Canis lupus familiaris: one gene and its partners. The protein of the gene in region 1 interacts with the protein of each later gene in a biochemical or structural test. Links are inferred from orthologs where the notes say so. Each region holds a gene or a part of one and is shown on either strand. Other genes may lie near its edges. The genes, in order: RNF11, SMURF2, ITCH and ZFYVE9.

What was found.
Region 2: the proteins of RNF11 (region 1) and SMURF2 form a complex in vitro, tested with the Homo sapiens proteins (3 studies listed by BioGRID and IntAct, with this or other methods). The link is inferred for Canis lupus familiaris from reciprocal best matches to the Homo sapiens genes RNF11 and SMURF2.
Region 3: the proteins of RNF11 (region 1) and ITCH form a complex in vitro, tested with the Homo sapiens proteins (2 studies listed by BioGRID and IntAct). The link is inferred for Canis lupus familiaris from reciprocal best matches to the Homo sapiens genes RNF11 and ITCH.
Region 4: the proteins of RNF11 (region 1) and ZFYVE9 form a complex in vitro, tested with the Homo sapiens proteins (2 studies listed by BioGRID). The link is inferred for Canis lupus familiaris from reciprocal best matches to the Homo sapiens genes RNF11 and ZFYVE9.

The regions. Positions count from the first base shown.
Region 1 is NC_049236.1:10,031,953-10,036,812, forward strand, and holds the start of RNF11 (RING finger protein 11), read right to left. Parts: upstream 3,227-4,860; 5' UTR 3,123-3,226; coding exon 3,000-3,122; intron 1-2,999. UniProt on the Homo sapiens protein: Essential component of a ubiquitin-editing protein complex, comprising also TNFAIP3, ITCH and TAX1BP1, that ensures the transient nature of inflammatory signaling pathways. Promotes the association of TNFAIP3 to RIPK1 after TNF stimulation.
Region 2 is NC_049230.1:14,452,321-14,457,296, reverse strand, and holds the start of SMURF2 (E3 ubiquitin-protein ligase SMURF2), read right to left. Parts: upstream 3,273-4,976; 5' UTR 3,222-3,272; coding exon 3,170-3,221; intron 1-3,169. UniProt on the Homo sapiens protein: E3 ubiquitin-protein ligase which accepts ubiquitin from an E2 ubiquitin-conjugating enzyme in the form of a thioester and then directly transfers the ubiquitin to targeted substrates.
Region 3 is NC_049245.1:24,118,536-24,122,824, reverse strand, and holds part of ITCH (E3 ubiquitin-protein ligase Itchy homolog), read right to left. Parts: intron 3,991-4,289; exon of another isoform or gene 3,849-3,990; intron 3,369-3,848; coding exon 3,209-3,368; intron 2,761-3,208; coding exon 2,627-2,760; intron 2,306-2,626; coding exon 2,165-2,305; intron 1-2,164. UniProt on the Homo sapiens protein: Acts as an Acts as an E3 ubiquitin-protein ligase which accepts ubiquitin from an E2 ubiquitin-conjugating enzyme in the form of a thioester and then directly transfers the ubiquitin to targeted substrates.
Region 4 is NC_049236.1:9,125,598-9,129,886, forward strand, and holds part of ZFYVE9 (zinc finger FYVE domain-containing protein 9), read right to left. Parts: intron 3,712-4,289; coding exon 3,542-3,711; intron 1-3,541. UniProt on the Homo sapiens protein: Early endosomal protein that functions to recruit SMAD2/SMAD3 to intracellular membranes and to the TGF-beta receptor.

The DNA of each region.
Region 1 (4,860 bases):
AGTAGGCCAAAGAAGCTAAAGGGATGTCAGCAGGGGGAAAACTAGTAAGAAGTCAGCATCAAGAGAGATATGTGTTGGGGATATACAGATAACGTAGGGCTTATGGACACAGAGGGATTTGCCTTTTACTGTGAATGAAATGGAGATCCACATAAGGTTGCACCAAGAGACATGATTTGTAGTTGTTATTTTTTTGAGACATGATTTGTTTTACCAGAATAACTGACTGCTGGGTTAAGAACAGACTGTAGGGAAGGCAAGGGTGAATACAGTGAGACCAGTTAGAATACTAACTAAACACAGGAAATAAACAGGTACTTCCTATAAACTTTCACTATAATGGCATAGAGTTTACTTTTTAAACATAAATTAAATACATCTGTCAGGTCCTGCTAATAGGAAATAACCTAGAAATTTACTAAGTAGAGCTCTTAGCATTAGCCTACACCGTGCAACACAAAAAGGACATCTTTTAACCACCCACTACAGAAAAATACTGTGTTCCTCTATAATCAGCTTTAAAGATTTTTAAAGATCCTATTGCAGCTGAGACTATTCTTTCAAGAAATATGCTATTCTTGTAGCTCTTTTAATTATATACTATTTTTGAAGAAAAAATGTTACTTCTGTCCACTGAAAATATAAATCATTTCTTGGACTGGTGTTTGGACTGGTGTTTCTCAGATCATTTAAATTAACCATTCCTAAAAATCTTATTTCCTTTGGGAGGGGACAAAGCTTTTTCTACAAAAGTTTCTTTATGCTCCCATTAAAGTTTTATTTCAATTGATACGAAATTTGCATCAGTATCTGGGTCACTCACTTCAAAAAAGGGCAACCACAAAAACTCCTGCTGTCACAAATAACATGTTCCTTCATGATTTAAAAAAAAATCTATCACCTAGTTCTCCTGGAAAAACCAAATACAATTCCTAAAAATTAAGTTATCCTTAACACTGTATTACCGTGCGGGTAAGAGAAAAAGGGCCATGAACTCAGGATATTTAATTTGCCTGGAAAGGGATTAGGGAGTATGGAAGGAGATTTTGAAATAAAAATCATACCTCTACAAAAATTTGCTCAGGAAGCTAAAATAAGCACATTGTCCTATAGTATTTGAGGGAAATGAAAAGTGAAATATAAACAATTTACTTGCTTCAAAGATTCAAAAAGATGAAAAGACTTCCCTGTGACACTCTCTGGAAGAAACAGGTGTGTAAACTTACCACACAAGGTACTGAATTCAAATTCATTAATTCATTCAACATTTAAATGCTTAAGTGCCAGTAATTTCTTTTTTTTTTTTAAGTGCCAGTAATTTCATGAAACATTGAGGATACAGTCCTTGTTCTTAAGAGCTTAGTCTTCACTTATCCCACAAGTTACTGAATATTTACTATGAGCCAGATGCTGGGGATGTAACAGCATAGCAGGTGACATAAGGGTCCCTACCTGCCAGCAGCTTACACTGGAGGCAGAAGGAAATGCCATAAGGATGAAACCTACATCTAACAAAACAAAGATATTAACACCCCAAGTGTTGTTTGTGCTGCTTATGGAATGGGGGTGGGGGGGTGGAGGGTGCTACACAAACAACTGAGGGATGGATTCACAGAGGGAGGGAGGGGAAGGTAGAGACCTGGGAGAGTGGTGACAGGAGAGCTGAGTCTTTAAAGAGGATTAGATGTTCACCTTGCTGACCTTGGGGGAAGGGATCCTAGCAGAGGGAGCAACTGGAGCAAAGGCAGAGATGTGAACTGATGTATTTGGCAGGCCTGAAATACAGAATGTGAAAGATAAACCATGGAGGCTTCTGTATGCCACGATTAAGACTGGACTTTATTGGCATATATATATGAAAGGACCCTGAGGGTTTTATTCACAAAACCAGGATATGTGATCAGGTTTTTCTGGTGTGATGAGACACTGGTTTACACAGGAATGAGAGAAGAATAACACTAGATAATGATGTCACCACATGAAACAACAAAGGAGACTGCCCGGTTAGAAAACTAAACCCCCTTCAGCTAAAAAATTAAGGCATTTAACTATTTAAACCCCTCTGGAAAAAAAGCTAACCAATATCATTCAAAATTGAAAAGTAGAGAAAAGGTTTTTATATATTCTAAATAAGATCTACATTATCTATTTGGAGTTCAAGAGATCTTAGCTTTTTTATTAACTGTAAACATATATAGGACGGATTGCTGTACAAAAAGCGATGAAACTGTTTAGGAGCAAGTCTTTGATACGAAGTGAGAACCACGAGTAACAGAAGATATTCAAGTCAGGTTTAAAGGTTTCCAAAGTTCAAGATACTCAAGTTTTATTGAATCAGCGCGTTTAAAAGGTGTGTCATAGGGTGGAGCGAGAGGAGGAGGGATCAAAATTAATACATACACACACACATATGTATAAACAAGTAACTCCTGATGTCGCCAGCACTAAAATCACCACTTGATCTTTTCTCATGTAGGAGAAATGAGCACCTACCAGATCCAATTAACGCACAGGGTACAGGGAGGGGTGGGGGAGCGGATGGCCACACATGACGAGGAGGTGGGGGGCAACGACCTACCCAGAACCCACAGTCCAGGCGGCGGCGCGATGAGGAAACGTCCCCCACATCTCATACCAGACTCCACGCTTTAGACATAAAGGCGGAACGAGGTCATCCCCAAATTCCACAAGCGAGGAGGATACTGTCACCACTCGGATCCCAGAACTCAAGGACAGAGAGGGCCGTCCCCACGCCGTTCCTGATGGGAGGTGAAGGGTCCCCCTTACCCCGGGAGGGGCGGCGATCACCTTCAGTCCCCGCCCTAGGGCCGCCGCCCCCCAGGCCGGGCCCGGCGAGGCCGGGGCGGTGACAGCCCCTCGGCGCCCCCCCGGCCCCTCGGCCCCCCTCGGCTCCCCCGCTCCCCTCCGGCCCCGACGCCCCCCCACCCCCCGCTCGGGCCGCCTCGCCCCGCTCCTCCCCAACACACAGCCTCCCCTACCTGATATGGCGGCGGCGGCTCCTGGTCCGGTTCCGTCCCCTCGCCGAAACTAGCGCGGTCGGACTGGGACTCGTGAAGCAGGGAGATGTCATCCGAGGTGGGGGACTTGAGGCAGTTCCCCATCTTCCGAGGCTACGAGGTGTGATCCGGAGGAGGCAGAAGCAGCGGCGGGCCGTTCGCACGCGCCGGGCCAGCGAGGCGGGGTCGGCGGCAGGCCGGGCTCAGGCGGCGGCTCCCCCGCGCCCCGGCGCCGCCGGAGGGCTGCTCATGCCAGGCCCCGGCCCGGGGGCTCAAGGCTGGGCTCCGCTGGGGTCGCGGCGGGCGCCTCCTGCGAGGCGGCACTGGGGGGGGGGGGCGGGGAGACGGAGCCCTTCCCCACCCCGCCCCCCCGCGGGGCGGCGGCGGCCACCGAGCTGCCGGGCCTAACGCGGGTCAGGGGCGGGGGGCGCGGCTGCCGCGGCTGCCCCAGCTGCTGCCTCAGCGGCTGCTGCCCCCGCCGACGCCGGAGCCGCGGCCGCGGGCCTCATCCTACTCCGCCTCAGAGCGGCGGCGGCGGCCAGAACGAGGCGGGCCGCGGCCGTGCGTCACGCGCCGTGCGTGCCCCGGGCCCGCCCCCGGCGCCCGAGCCCTGGGCGTCTCCGGCCGCGGCCGCGCCCCCTCCCGCCCGGCGGCTGTTCCCGGGGCCCTGGCGGCGGGGCCGGGCCTCGGAAGCCGCCCTGCGGGCTCCCTCCCGCGGGTCCCTGCTCCCTCGGGCGCGCCTCAGGCAGCCTCCTGCCCGCCGCCGGCCGGGTGATGTGCTCGCAAACCCTCCTCCCAACGGGTCGCTCCCGGGTTGAAATGTTAGGGAGGCTTCTTCCCCGTTCTCCCTTCAGAATAAAGTCCAAGCTCGCCCGTGAGCCGGGCCACCGTTCACACAGCTGCGCGATCTTTTTAAAACATAAATTGACCCCCCATTTAAGACCTTCACTGGCTTACCCAAACCGTTAGGAGTATTCTTAAACGGTTTACAGATCTACTTCCCCAATCTCATTAGCAGCATTGTCCCCTCAGATATCTAACTGCGGGCTGTCTAAAGTACCTCGGGTTCTCTTAGAAGACTGTTCCCTCCGGCTGAGGCCTTCACCCGAACTGCTTCTCCGACCTACGCGCGCTTCGCCTTCACGCCAGACCTCCTACCCCCCATCAGGCTAACCGTTATTCCCAGTTGTCCTTCCTAAATTCAACTTCGTTTCCTCTAACCCTCCAGTCTGGACTGGTGGCCTTCTCCATGCCCTTCGTCCCTGAGCTTCTCCCCATCACAGCCTGATCGAGCCGAATCATCTGTCCCTCCTCTGTGCACGGCCTGGGTGCTGCCTAAGGGACAGTAGGCCCTCTTGGTTGAGTGAACAAAGAGCCCGAGAAGCAATATGTGCAAAGGAAGGAAATAAGAAAGATGAGAATGCTCCCAGAGGACAAGAAGCGGGTCTTGACTCTCTTTCTTTTATTCACCAGTCACTGATTCTTTTTCTTCCCTCGCAAGACCACATGCTAGGCACTAGGGAAGCTCTTTTACCGGATCTGCTTTGTCCCGGATGGAGCCCAGAGTCCAGCTGGGGAGACCAGTAAACAGTGAGTCCCTACTCCCCTCCACCACCAAAAGTTTTTGCAGAGCCCTAAGGAGACTGTTTAGACCATGTGGGTGAGGATCAGAAATGATTCTTGGAGGTAGGATTCTAAACTAGTATGGGCATGAGTACTCTAGCTTTGGAGTCCCTATTCTACAAAATCACTTACTTAAATGTCCTCATATCCCATATTAAATAGAACCGTTTTGCTGCATCCTGTCTTCCTCAAGACTTACCTTCCTTCCCATTGATAGCTC
Region 2 (4,976 bases), on another chromosome or scaffold:
TCAAGATTTTGGTTTTCAAAAAACAACAAGGATATAAAAAATTTACCCCAATTTTTTACTGTAACCAAATTCAAAGGATGTTTTCTATCCAAAGCATTGTAAGAAAAGCTTATATCAGATATTCATAAGTACAATGAATACAAATTTTATATTTTATAATCAATTTCCTATAGAAATAACAGTTGAAATTGATAGCTTTACCATACAGCCGCTTTTAATGATTGTTAATGTGTCATTAAGAACAACCAAAGTACTTGATGGACCAAATCAGATTTTAACTACCAATGGCCTGAGGAATCTCAAATGTGGGATTAAATTAACCCTACCTCCTTAGCATCAAAAACACCAAACAGTTCACTAGGTAAGTGTGGGCTAAGGAATAATACATGGAAAAGTCTAATAATATTTGTCGTGGGCAGAGATCTCATGGCTCAAATATTTCTTCTCCAGCCTGTGTGTATGTGTGACTGTATGTGTGTGTGTCATCACGTAAAAACTGTTTATACCTTTCAGTAAAGGGACAACTCTATGTTAAAGATAGAATTGACTACAGTTCATAAAGCACCATGGAATCAAAGACATTTTATATAAACTTAAAATACTAGTATGATACTGACTTAAGGCAAAGAACAATAATTTTAAAGCATCTTACAGTCCAAGTGTATTGTAAACCAAATAAAAATTCACTGTGGGATGTGTCTTTTTTTTTTTTTTTTTAAGTAATTTTCCTTATTATGGAACCCGGATCTAAATGAACTGTTAAACACTTAGTCTAAAGGTATGCCAAACATTTCTTAAGGTCTTAACAAAGAATCAACTTTTTTTTTTTTTTCAAACAAAACGAGGCCTAGGTTAAATATTTTATTTGGCTTCTCAAGATGGACTGAAAAGTTGGGCACCAGCTCCAGACCAATTCCTGGACGCACATCAAACACAGCCCTGTCATTTATCCAGTCAGTCAAAACAATCTTTTCCATCTAACCCTTTAATGTTTATGTCCTAAAAAGCTGCTAATTGAATCCAGCTCTTGAAATCTATTTGTTAAAATCTATACCATCTAATTTGTAAATGGACAAAAATGAGAAAATATAAGTTAACTTTCCTGGCAAAACAGAATCCACCAAATATAACCAAAAAGGAGAGGGCAATGTTTTTAATATCTGAATAGCTTTTTCTTAAAATATGACAGAGACAAATTCTCAATGGTTTTCAAAAACTGAGAGTACCTCAAACTGCTTTTACAATTAAGGGGACACAGTGTATTTAATATTCCACAGAAAAATCTAAAAATACAAAATCACTCTATAAATTTAGCCCAGTGTTCCCTCTCCCCCCCCAAAAAAAAGAGGTGTCATCTTTTCTCCTAAGTTTACTCATGGATTTTTATAATGTATCATAGACTGTAAGGAAACCACAAATAAACACATTAAGATCTTTTAAAAATTTCAAACTCATTATATCTAAAAAAAAAAAAAAAACCTCCGAAATACCTGTTTTCTCCTTCATTTTCTCATGATGCACATAGCCTAGAAGGAAGTAAATGGTCAACAGCCTATTTCTGAGGTTTTTTGAACACCTAGAATCACAGGTTCTTTCTGTGATCACCACCACGGGACTGATTCCAGAGAAGAGCATCAGTAGATAAACCCTAAAGCAACAAAGATCCCTTATAAAGGTTTCCAAAGGAAACTGAATGGGGGCAACGGTAGTGGGGGGGGGAGGGGATCCCTAACCCAGGTTTTCCATTAAGAACCACTCAGTTCATGATTCTTTGCAATTTTTCCCTAGAGAAAGTAAAACTGTCGTACAAGTCATATATTTTTAAAATCGCAGCCAATTTACAGTCAGACTAAATTCTCAAATACCAAATTCACTGCAAGTTTTAATCTGCAAAGTTCAGCCAGTGGACTGGGATGTGACACACAAGCATTCAATTACAAAATTAGTCCATATAAATCTCAATGTCTAGTGTAGGCAAACATAATTACAGTTTATTCTCACACGCGCGTGCACACACATACACACACACACACACAACCTCTAAGGAAAACCATTTTTCTCACCACACATCCAAACATCGACGCGGATAATACTGAATGGTGAAACTGGGAGAGCGACAGTGATTTCAATTCCACTTTTCAAACCAAAAGTAATCTGTCCTTAAGATGAGGTGACACGACCATGTAAGAACACCAAAAAACGGCACTGTGTCAGCAAAATGTACCTGTAACGTTAAAGATTTAATGCACTCTGAATCAGAAACATTTTGCAAGAGAGAAAGAAGCCTTCTACCTAGGAACCCCTCCATACATTCTTTTCCATTTAGAAAAGGAAAGGGGAGGAGGGGAGAAGAGACAAAACTTCCCTTGCAAATTTGTATGAGCACATACTTCGAAACGTACCCTCAAAAAAAAAAAAAAAAGTGTGTTCTTAGAGCAGGTCTGGAGTTAGTAGTGAGACACAAGTTCTGCGGCCTACAAGGAACAACCCAAAACATGCTACCCTACAATCAAACACTTCCAAAACACAGAGTGTACAATGAGCCAGAGTCGGCGGAGCAGGCGGACACACCGGAAAAAAAAAAAAAAAAAAAAAAAAATCCACCTCGGTCTCCTCCCCCTTCCCAAGGACTTGCGTTTCAGGTGTGTGGCACCGGCCGCAGCGGCCGGCGGCGGAGAGTGAAGGTCTTGCAGGCGGGCACAGTGGGCGAACAAGTTACCAGGGAACACACACTCTCTCACACACACACACACACACACACACACACACCCTCCCGTTAAGCGCTCCATCTTTAAGGAGTGTTTACTGCGCGCAGTCAGCGGCCGGATTCAACAATCCCCGCCACGGGAGCTCGTCGCCCCCTCGACGACCCCACCTGGGCGGCAGCCCCGCGGAGAGCCGTGCTCCTCGGCCAGCGCGCGCCGACCTCCAGTCAGCCCGCGCGTCCCACCGGGCAGCCCGCCCCTCAACAAAAGACCCCGACACCGGTCGGCTCGCTCCCGAACCTCCCGAGCGGGGCGAGCCCGTTGCCACTCCTCTCCCTGAACTAGGCCTTCCCCCGTCCCCGACCCCCGGCTCACCATTGATCACGACCCTGGCCCTTCCCAAGGCCACAGGCACCCCCCGCCGGCTCGCCCGCCCCGCGGCCGCCCCCCTCGGCTCCCCTCACCTGTCAGGCGCAGCTTGACGGGCCCGTTCCTCCGGCCCCCGGGGTTAGACATGTCCCCGGCGGCGGGGGCGGCGCGGCGGCGGCGGCGGCGGCGGGGCTGCTGCTGCGGCGGCGGCGGCGGCGGCGGCGGCGGCGGGGCTGCGGCCGCGGCGCGGGGCCCGGGGCCGGCGGGCGGGCGGGGCGGGGGCGACGGCGAGGCGCGGCGGAGTCACCACAGCGGCCGGGGCTGGGGCCCGAGCAGCCGGCGCCGCGGCCGCCACGGCCGGAGGGTCCCGGATGTGCCGAGCGTCGTCGCCATGAGCCGCGGAGGGAGCGGGACGCCGAGCTCCCCCCTCCTCCCACTTCTCCTTCCTCGGCCCGGGCCGCACAACAAAGCGGCAGCCGCGGCCGGCCGCGCCGCCTCCGCCCGCGCCCGCGCCCCCGCCGCCCGCCCGCGGCCGCCTCCGCCCGTCCCTCCCCTCGGCTCGGCGAGGCCCAGGAGGAGCCGCCGGCGCTGCTCGGCCGAGGCGGGCGGCGCTCGGCGGCGCCGGAGCAGGACTCGGGGCTCGGCCGCTTCCTCCTCCACCCGCCCTCTTGTCTGAGGGAACCGGGTCCTGGGGCCGCCGCCGCCACTCGTCGGCTCCGGGGGGCGGGGAGGAGACGGGAGGCGGGGCCGGCGGGGCGGGGCCTGGCGGGCGGGCGGGCGCGCGCTGGGTGCCCGGGGCGCGGGGGCGCGAGGGCGCGGGGCGCGGGGCGCGGGGCCCGGGCGGGCCTGGGCGCAGGCGGGGAAGGGCGGAGAAGGGCGGGGGAGCTCGCCGCCGCCGCCGAGGGTCCCACGCGGAACTTGGTGGAGACAGCCGGCGAAAGGAAGAAAGTGGCGGCGCCGAGCTCGGTGGCACCAGGAGGGGCTTGGTGTCCAGCCCACTGAAGGGAGAGCTTTTGTCCGTGCGACGCCGACTGCACCTCTTCGATGCCCACTGCGTGCACGGCGCTCTAGGGGGCTGGAGCGAGCGAGGTTGGAACCGAGCCCCCTGCCCTCGGGGAATTCAGCGTCGCTGGGGTGAGGGAAGAGCCACGATTCCCACACCAGGCGCCCCTGCAACCCCCCTGCGGTGTTGTGCTCCTAGTATCCCGGCTGCCACCTCCATCCTGGACTCACCTGGTGGACGAGATCAGGTTACCTGCCCGCTCCGGCTCTTTTTCCAGCTGCATCTCGGAGGATAGGCGATTGATAATAATACCTTAAAGGATTATTATCAAGATAAGCCTTGGAGAGCAGTGTTTGAAAAGCTTTTCATACAGAACTGTATCTCGTTATCTCGGGAAGAAAAAAAGAGATAGAAAATGAAATAAAAATAAGTGTACCTTGCCATTTGACCCTGTAATTGCACTCTTGGGAATTTTTTTTTATACATATATATTAAGACAGAAGATGTTTCTTTGAAAAGTTCGGTTAATAACAAAAGGGGGAATGAGGGAACAGCCTAATGGTGAACTGTATTACATCATCCGCATCGATTTTTATGCAGCCATTTAAATGGCAATTATGAAGATCATATAATATGGAAGAGTTTACAAATAAAGTTTAAAAGCACATCAAAAAGTCGTATGGGGATCCCTGGGTGGCGCAGCGGTTTGGCGCCTGCCTTTGGCCCAGGGCGCGATCCTGGAGACCCGGGATCGAATCCCACATCGGGCTCCCGGTGCATGGAGCCTGCTTCTCCCTCTGCTTTTCTCTCTCTCTCTCTCTCTCTCTCTCTCTATGACTATCATAAATAAATTTAAAAAAAATTAAAAAAAAGTCGTATGCATGCAAAAAGATCTAGGA
Region 3 (4,289 bases), on another chromosome or scaffold:
AGAACTAATAATAATGTGGTTTATAAGGTAAGAAATCTGACAACAGTTGCACAAATAGAGATAACTGAAATTATATTATGAGCTTCTTACTATTGTACAAGTAGTAGTGTAATATGTTATATAATATGTATATGATCTTAATTATAAGTGAGACATTATGGATATATATTATAATCATTAGAGCAGTCACTAAAATAATTAAAGAGGGATAGTTTTAAAAAAATCTGACAGGTTAAAAAAACTATTAATTCAAAAGAAGGCAGGAAAGGAAGAACAAAGGAAGTTAGGATAATTAAATAGCAAGGTGGCAGACTTCACTCCAACCATATCAGTAATCATATTAAATGTAAATGGTACTAAACAGTGCATTTAAAAAGTAAAGATTATCAGACTGGATGAAAATATTAAGATCCAAGAATATGCTACTTGTCAGAAACATACTTTAAATACACAGATATACAGGGCAGCCTGGGTGGCTCAGCGGTTTAGTGCTGCCTTCGGTGTGATCCTGGAGACCCGGGATCGAGTCCCATGTCGGGCTCCCTGCATGGGGCCTGCTTCTCCCTTTGCCTGTGTCTCTGCCTCTCTCTCTGTGTGTCTCTCATGAGTAAATAAAATCTTTAAAAAAATTTTTTTTTAAATAAATACACAGAGACAGGACTGAAAACTAAAGGATAGAGGAAGATCTATTACATAAATACTAGTCACAGGAAGGCTGGAGTGAATATATTAATATTTAAAAAGTGAAAAAGCAAGCAAGAGACCCAGAAACTGTAACTCAAGAAAAAGCAGATATATGGAAACTAACGCTGCTCTAAACAGAGCTGGTGTTGAGAATATGTGAATGAACTATAACTCTTGACACTAAAGTATCAATCAATTCAGCAAGCGTGAGAGGATACATTATAAATTATTTTACTTATAAATTTTATCTGATCTTAGAGTACTCCCCACAAAAATATCTGCATATAAATTTCAGATTCTTTTCAATGACTCAATGTTACATGGCACAGTGGTTACAGACTGGTATTTAAAAGAGTGACCTAGCACTATTTCTACTCTTAAAACTCCCAATTTGGGAGGAAAAAAGTGAAAGTTCTATATAATCAACATTCTTTTCTATCCCTTTATAATCTTCAAATTGTGGTTAAACTGAAAATATGCCAAGAAAAGGGGTATAAAACCTATCAGTACCCATTAGATTAATTCTTTTTTTTTTTTTCCATTAGATTAATTCTTTGTAAAATTTAGTTTAAGTTAACTGGCAGGACAGTCTCTCTACCCTGCTGCCTCCACAAGAATCTGTTCTACTTCTTATTCTGCTGCCAGATGTTAAAGTTGAAATTTAGATTGTCTACCTAATTTGGTCCTTAAATTTTTTTTAAGATTTATTTATTTATGATAAACATAGGGGGAGAGGGAGAGAGGGAGAGAGGGGGAGAGAGAGGGAGGGAGAGACACAGGAGGAGGAAGAAGCAGGCTCCATCCTGGGAGCCCGATGTGGGACTCGATTCCGGGATTCCAGGATCACACCCTGGGCCAAAGGCAGGCTCTAAACTGCTGAGCCACCCAGGGATCCCGGTCCTTAGTTTCTTATAATGTGGCTTCTCTATCTACCACTTGGGTATAGTTCTAACTGTTCTCTTAAGGGTTATAATAACTTATTAGCCTCCATATCTTCTAAAGATTCCTCATTTTCCTTGGCCTCTGAAATTCAGGACATGGTAGAACGGGATATCAGCTCTGAGCTGCCTAAAAGCACCACCACACACTATACTTCCCTAGTTACTATTTGTGACTTGTGCTTTCCAGCCTTTGTATCTCTGCCCATTAACTTCAGTTCTCATTTCTACACAAGTGAATCCTCCCCAACCTTCAAAGCTCATATTAAATATGACCACCAGCTACTTGCTGCATGATTACAACTAAATGATGTCTCCCTCATTTGACTTTCCATAGCACTTTCCTTGTTCCTCTCTCAACATACTTGTAAGTTAGAAAGCAATCAATCACGTCCTTGTTATACATGATCAGTTCTCATAATGATTAGTAAAAAGGCAAACATTATTTTAAAATACTGTCCACTAGTATCACTAGGCAATTATCAATGTGCTGTAGCCCAACAGAAAGGCTTTGAAGTACATTAAAAGGAGCATTCTCTCACCTGATATATTCCTCTTTATTTTCTTCTGTCACAAGAATATTGCCACCATTAGGTTTCAAATCATGACTCTTGATTTCACCTAAAATTTCTTTATCGACAGAGAAGTACATTTCCAAACCACATTCCTCAATATTGTTTTCTCTGCACAAATGAAATTAATACTATTTGTTACACTAATTCAATCATATAAAAAGTATTTAACTAAAGGACTGTGTTCTTCAATAATTACTCTAAAACCATAGGATCAAAATAATATGAAAACTGGAAAGATTACGCTCTAAAGTCATTATATTTTTACCTAACATATCAGGTGTATTCTGTAAAATTTATTATACTGGATGAGACAAGTTTAATATTTAAATTCAATAAACCAATTACTTGCTTACAGTTTGGGCAGGTTACCAACATCATAATGAAATCATATAGACTATATTTTGATAAATTAAACGGAAACAAACTTACTTAACCCAGATGAGAGAATTGTAAAATTCTGGATCAATAGATTCTAAATCCTTCAGTCCAACTGGTTTGTTCAATATACGCTTATAGAATGGCAAAGAAAAACCTGTGTCTATGAATTTTCCATGGAACAGAGCCTATATGAGAAGAAAATAAACCTTTTATGATAGAATGTTAGATTAATTAATTCTTCATATAAAGCTCCCCTGTCATCTATTATGGCACATTTTTGGGAAAATAGCAAATATAACAAACCAATCTTTTTTTTTTTAATATTTTATTTATTTATTCATGACAGAGGGAGAGAGAGAGAGAGAGAGAGAGGCAAAGACACAGGCAGAGGGAGGGACACAGGCAAGCTCCATGCAGGGAGCCCGACGCGGGACTCGATCCGGGGTCTCCAGGATCTCGCCCTGGGCTGCAGGCGGCGCTAAACCGCTGGGCCACCCGGGCTGCCCATAACAAACCAATCTTAAAAAAAAATCTTAGTGATGAGAAAATTTCAAATGAGAAAGTTAAATGTTAAAGAAACAATACCTTAATATTGGTGAATTAGCAAAGTAAACAGAGTTCACCAGTACTTACCATAGCAATAAACCTGCCAATAAAACGAAAATATTTCAGGTGATCTGGATTGATGTAAGAAGCGGGATTGATCTGCAAGCAGTAGTTATCCTTCCCTGCATATTCAAACAGGCAATACATTGGGTTCAACACCTCGTGTGACAAAAGAAAGAACCACTCTCTGAAATCAAAAGAAAATTTAGGGTGAAAAAACCATGCCAATAAATCAAAGTGCAGTGCTACAAAGTTCTCAGGAATCTATACTCCTTGGCTGGTGACAGTTTTCTAATCTCATGTTGATTTTTAACTGCTTCTATTCAGATAGACATCTAGTTTATAGAGATGATACTTACACACTCCATATTATATTTCAGAGAATCTAAGACATCATCGACTTAAAAGACACCATTATTCAATGAGCTACTAAAAATTTTTCTAATTATAATTGTGATACACATCCCAATGTCAGAGACATTTAAATCAATTTATCAATTAGTGAGCATTAGTCTTAGAATCAATGAAATACTATTATAGAGCCAAGTTTAATATTCATTATTAACCCATGTAGTTAAAGCAACTGAAGGAGGTCTAATATTATTCCATCTGTTACTAAGCCTCACAGCAATTCTCATCAGATGTCACTGCTCTCTAAAAATCTTGCAGCTTTGCGCAGTGGCAGTATCATAGCCAATGAGGTTTATCTGAGGCGCGATTATTGCTAATTGAAAGAACTTCCAATTTCACAAAGACAATAAAACACTTAATTGAAGCCACTCATTCATTAGATAAATGCTCTGAGGAGCTCTAAGTCAACTGTGAAAATATCAACCAATATTAAAATAAGATTATAGTTACTATACACTATGAGTAGGCCTGATTAAACAGAAAGCAGAATGGATCTGGGCAATACAAATGATATTAGCTTGTGTCTGAGATTTCTTTTCCTATAAATCATGGCCCCTGGTGGTAATGCTGCTTATACTTATTAATATTATTTGATTTTCTAATTAAGAATAAATGCCCTCCTCCTGAATTACCTTTAACTTATACAAAATTAAATGTTTTTACTCATTATTTACCAGTGGTTACTTCACATATTTTC
Region 4 (4,289 bases), about 910 kb from region 1:
CCTGGATTTATACTATGAAAATATTTCCAATTGTATAGTTTCTCTTTTTGGCATCACCAAATCATAAGAATGGGAGAAGAGGCCTTGTAGCCTAGGTTAAAGCTTTCTCTATCTAGGTTTCTTTGGCCATAAAAGAAAATATTTTTATTTATTTATTTATTTATTTATTTATTTATTTATTTATTTATTTGAAAACATTTTTAAAAACTGCAGTGGAACAGAAACTAAGTTTCAGTATTATCTCAATTTCTGAACCTTTAATGCATTTGGGTCCACTTGAAGTCTCATTTACATAGATGTCTGGGTGGCTCAGTCGGTTAAGCATCTGCCTTCAGCTCAGGTCAGGATCTCAGGGTCCTGAGATCAAGTCTCACATCAGGTCAGGCTCCCTGCTCAGTGGGGAATCTACTTCTCCCTCTCCTTCTGCCCCTCCCCCCCACTCATTGCTCTCTCTCCCTCTCTCAAATAAAATTAAAAGCTCTAAAAAAAAAAGTCTCATTTACATTGCTTTTTAAAAATAAAAAGGGACGCCTGTATGGGTCAGTTGGTTAAATGTCCCTGATTCGACTCAGGTCATGATTTCAGGGTTGTGAGATCGAGCTCCTTGCCTGGCTCCACTCCACTGGAGCCTGCTGAAGATTCTCTCTCTCCTCTGCCCCTCCATCCACTTGTCTCTTAAAAAAATAAAATAAAAACTGTAAAAAATAAAACAAACTTTGAGAATAGTGGTGATGGTTGTACAGCAATGTGAATGGACTTAATACCACTGGTTTGTACACTTAAAAATAACTAAAATGAAGGATTTTATGTTATGTGTATTTTACCACAATAAAAAAAGAGAAAAAAATTAACTGATAAAATACAGAATAAACGAGCATCTGGGTGGCTCAGTCTGATAAACATCTGACTCTTGATTTCAGCTAAGATTGTGATCTCAGGGTCCTGGGTCCAGGCCCCACATTGGGCTCCACATCAGCAGGGATTATACTGGAGAATTTCTTTCCCTCTCCCTGTGACCTCCCCCTGCTTGTGGGCAAGTTCATGCTTGCTCTTGCTCTCAAATCAATCTTTAAAAAATACAGAGATTAAAACAAGTCATTGTTTTCTTTTGTTATGCAGTGAAATAAAACTTCAAGTTCATTTTTCTTTGCATTAATATGAAGTTCACATTAACTACTCCAATAAAGTATAATGCTGCAAGACACATTTGGGGTTAAATCCATTTAATTAACAACTTAATAGAATACACTCAAAGATTATTAAAATAATGCTCTCTTCAGTATACTCTCTAACAATTAAGAAAAAAAAGAAAAAAGAAAAGAAGAAGCTTTAAAAAATGTTAAAATAAAAGCATTTAAAAACTGTTTTTAACATGTTTTAAAATATTTATAGGGGCACCTGGATGGCTGTTCGTTAAGTGTCCACCTTCAGCTTAGGTCATGATCCCCAGTGCCCTGGAACTCTCCCTTTGCCTCTCTCCCTGCTTTTTTTTTTTTTTTTCTCTCTCTCCCTGCTTATACTCGCTCTCTCTCTCTCTCAAATAAGTAAATAAAATCCTCCTAAAAAGACAAATAAAAAATAAAAGTGTTTATAGCAGCTTTATTCATAATAGCCATAAACTGGAAACCATCCAAATGTCCGTTAACAGGAAAACAGAAAAATTGTGGTATATTGTGGAACATTACCCAGCAATAAAAAAAATACCAACTTTTGATGCACACATCATGGATAAATCTCATAATCAAATCTTCATAAGAAGGAAGACACAAACTACTATATACTATGTTTGCATTTAGATGAAATTTAAGAACAGTCAAAAGTAATCCATGGTAATACAAATCAAAATAATGATTACCTTGGGGAAAACACAGGCAAGTATTGAAAAGGACACAAGGGAACCCTCTAGAGTATTTTCACTTGGATGGTGGTTGCATGGGTGTGTCCATAAGTTCATCAAGTTGCTTCTTAAAGATTAATGTGCCTCAAGCACAATGCTATCTAGATTTTATACTTGAATAAAGATTAAAACTATTTTTTAAAAAATATGTCCATGTCCTACTATATTTTTGTCTATGCTATTATTTAGGACTCTATCAGTTTTTAGCAGGTTTTTGCTAAAAATTTTGCAGTGTTCTCATCACTGGAAAATTTTATTGACAAACCATTATTACTGATTTGAAACCTAACAGAGGAAATAATCTATTCTACCTTATTATTTATTGATGCATAAATCTATCTTTTAGTTTCACAGAAAGTGGTCATCTGGTTTCCTCTTATGTATCATCTGTGAAAAGGAATTTATTTCATTCCCTGAGCACCTACTTAGTGCCATGCATTTTACTGAACCATTAAGATGAGAAAAATATATTCTAGCCTGGCCCTAAATTTGTTTTCCTACATTTTACCAGATAAGTGTTTAAAAATAGAGTGTTGAGGGATGCCTTGGTGGCTCAGCAGTTTGGCACCTGCCTTCGGCCCAGAGTATGATCCTGGAGCCCCGGGATCGAGTCCCACATCGGGCTCCCTGCATGGAGCCTGCTTCTCCCTCTGCCTGTGTCTCTGCCTCTGTGTGTCTCTCATGAATAAATAAATAAAATCTTAAAAAAATAAAATAAAATAGAGTGTTGAACAATGTAAAAGAAATAAAATATCTTGGTTTAGTTTTGCAAACTGAGCTGAACCGTTTCCCTGTAATATTCACTTACCAGAACTTCCTCTTGCAGTCAAACAAAATTTATATTTTAAAAACCTATCAGGGTCACCTGTCTGGCTCAGTTGGTAGATTGCACAACTCTTGATCTTGGGGTTTTAAGTTTGAGCCCCACGTTGGATGTAGAGGTCACTTAAAAATAAAGTCTTTAAAAATCTTACATAGAAACCAAAAAGAACAGAAGAAAGTAGAGATGCTCAGTTGAAGAGAAAGGAAGAGAGGGACTCCTCAGCCACCTGTATATGGCCTGGCCCTTCCTCACCATGGCACTCCCAAGACATCACCAAAGAAGCTGGGGAACATAGTTTGAAAACCAACGTACAAAGGCGGCAGGATTTCCTCTGCATGACCTCTATCTAACTACAGCAGTAGCCTGAGCCCACTGAGAACAACCTTTATAAGAGTCTTTCTCTTGGAAAAAAAAAAAAAAAACTCTAAATATAGAGCAAACAAGAACTGATTTTGCCAGGACACCTGGGTGGCTCAGTGGTTGAGCGCCCGCCTTTGGCTCAGAGTGTGATCCCAGGGTCCTGGGATCGAGTCCCACATCGGGCTCCCTGCAGGGAGCCTGCTTCTTCTCCCTCTGCCTGTGTCTCTGCCTTTCTCTCTCTCTCTGTGTCTCATGAATAAATAAATAAACCTTTATTTTAAAAAAACCTGATTTTGCCACCTTTACTTTACCCCTAGACACACAGACATATGCACTAAACTGTATCTGAAACCCACAGGGTTCCATAGAAAGGTCACTCAACTTAGAAAGCGGCAAGGCAGAAGCAGCACAATGCTGAGTAAACTAAGTACTCATTTTTAGCTGCTGTTTTATTTTCTTACCTCTGCTGGTAGAGGACTGGTAGTTATTGGCTTAACTGGGTCATGTGACACAGCCAGGGTTCCTGCAGAGGAAGTTCCATTCACCGTTAATTTGGCTGCATCAGCAACTTCTCCATTAGGCAGGATCCCATCAGCAAACCAAACTCGCCTCTGCTCTCTGGGCTGAGCCACTTGAGGAGCCAGAAAAATAAAACAGGTATCAATGTGATATTGGTAGGATTTCTTAACATCAAAGAAGAGAAGGTCACCAATTCCAGAAGTACTAAGAAATCACTTCTTAGCATCTTATAAATATAAGAATTGTAACTGTGTTTAAAAGTAGTTATAAATAAAATATGAGTTTAAATATATTCTTTATTTCTGTAACTTAAAGATTTAAAACACTTTGCTTTAAAATATTAAGTACACTTATGATAATGTCACATACTCTGTTCCCTATTATTGACAGAGAAACTAAAAAAGGTTTTTTAAGTGCCTAAGAAATAAATTAATAGCAGGGGAAAAATATCTAGCAATAGATAGCCACATCTCCTAAAAGTATGAAGTTTCCCCAGGAATTAAATATCTGGAAAAGTGATTTGGTATTTTTAAAGGGCAAAAGATGCCCTGAAGAATGTTCAAGAATTATTTACTAATAAAGGAAGAGTTGGCACAGATATATAAGAGAGTTGGGAAGCAAACTGACCAGATTTTTGGCTGAAGTGTAACTGAAGATGAAAAAAGAGTGACCTGGCAGTGCAAAAGTAGT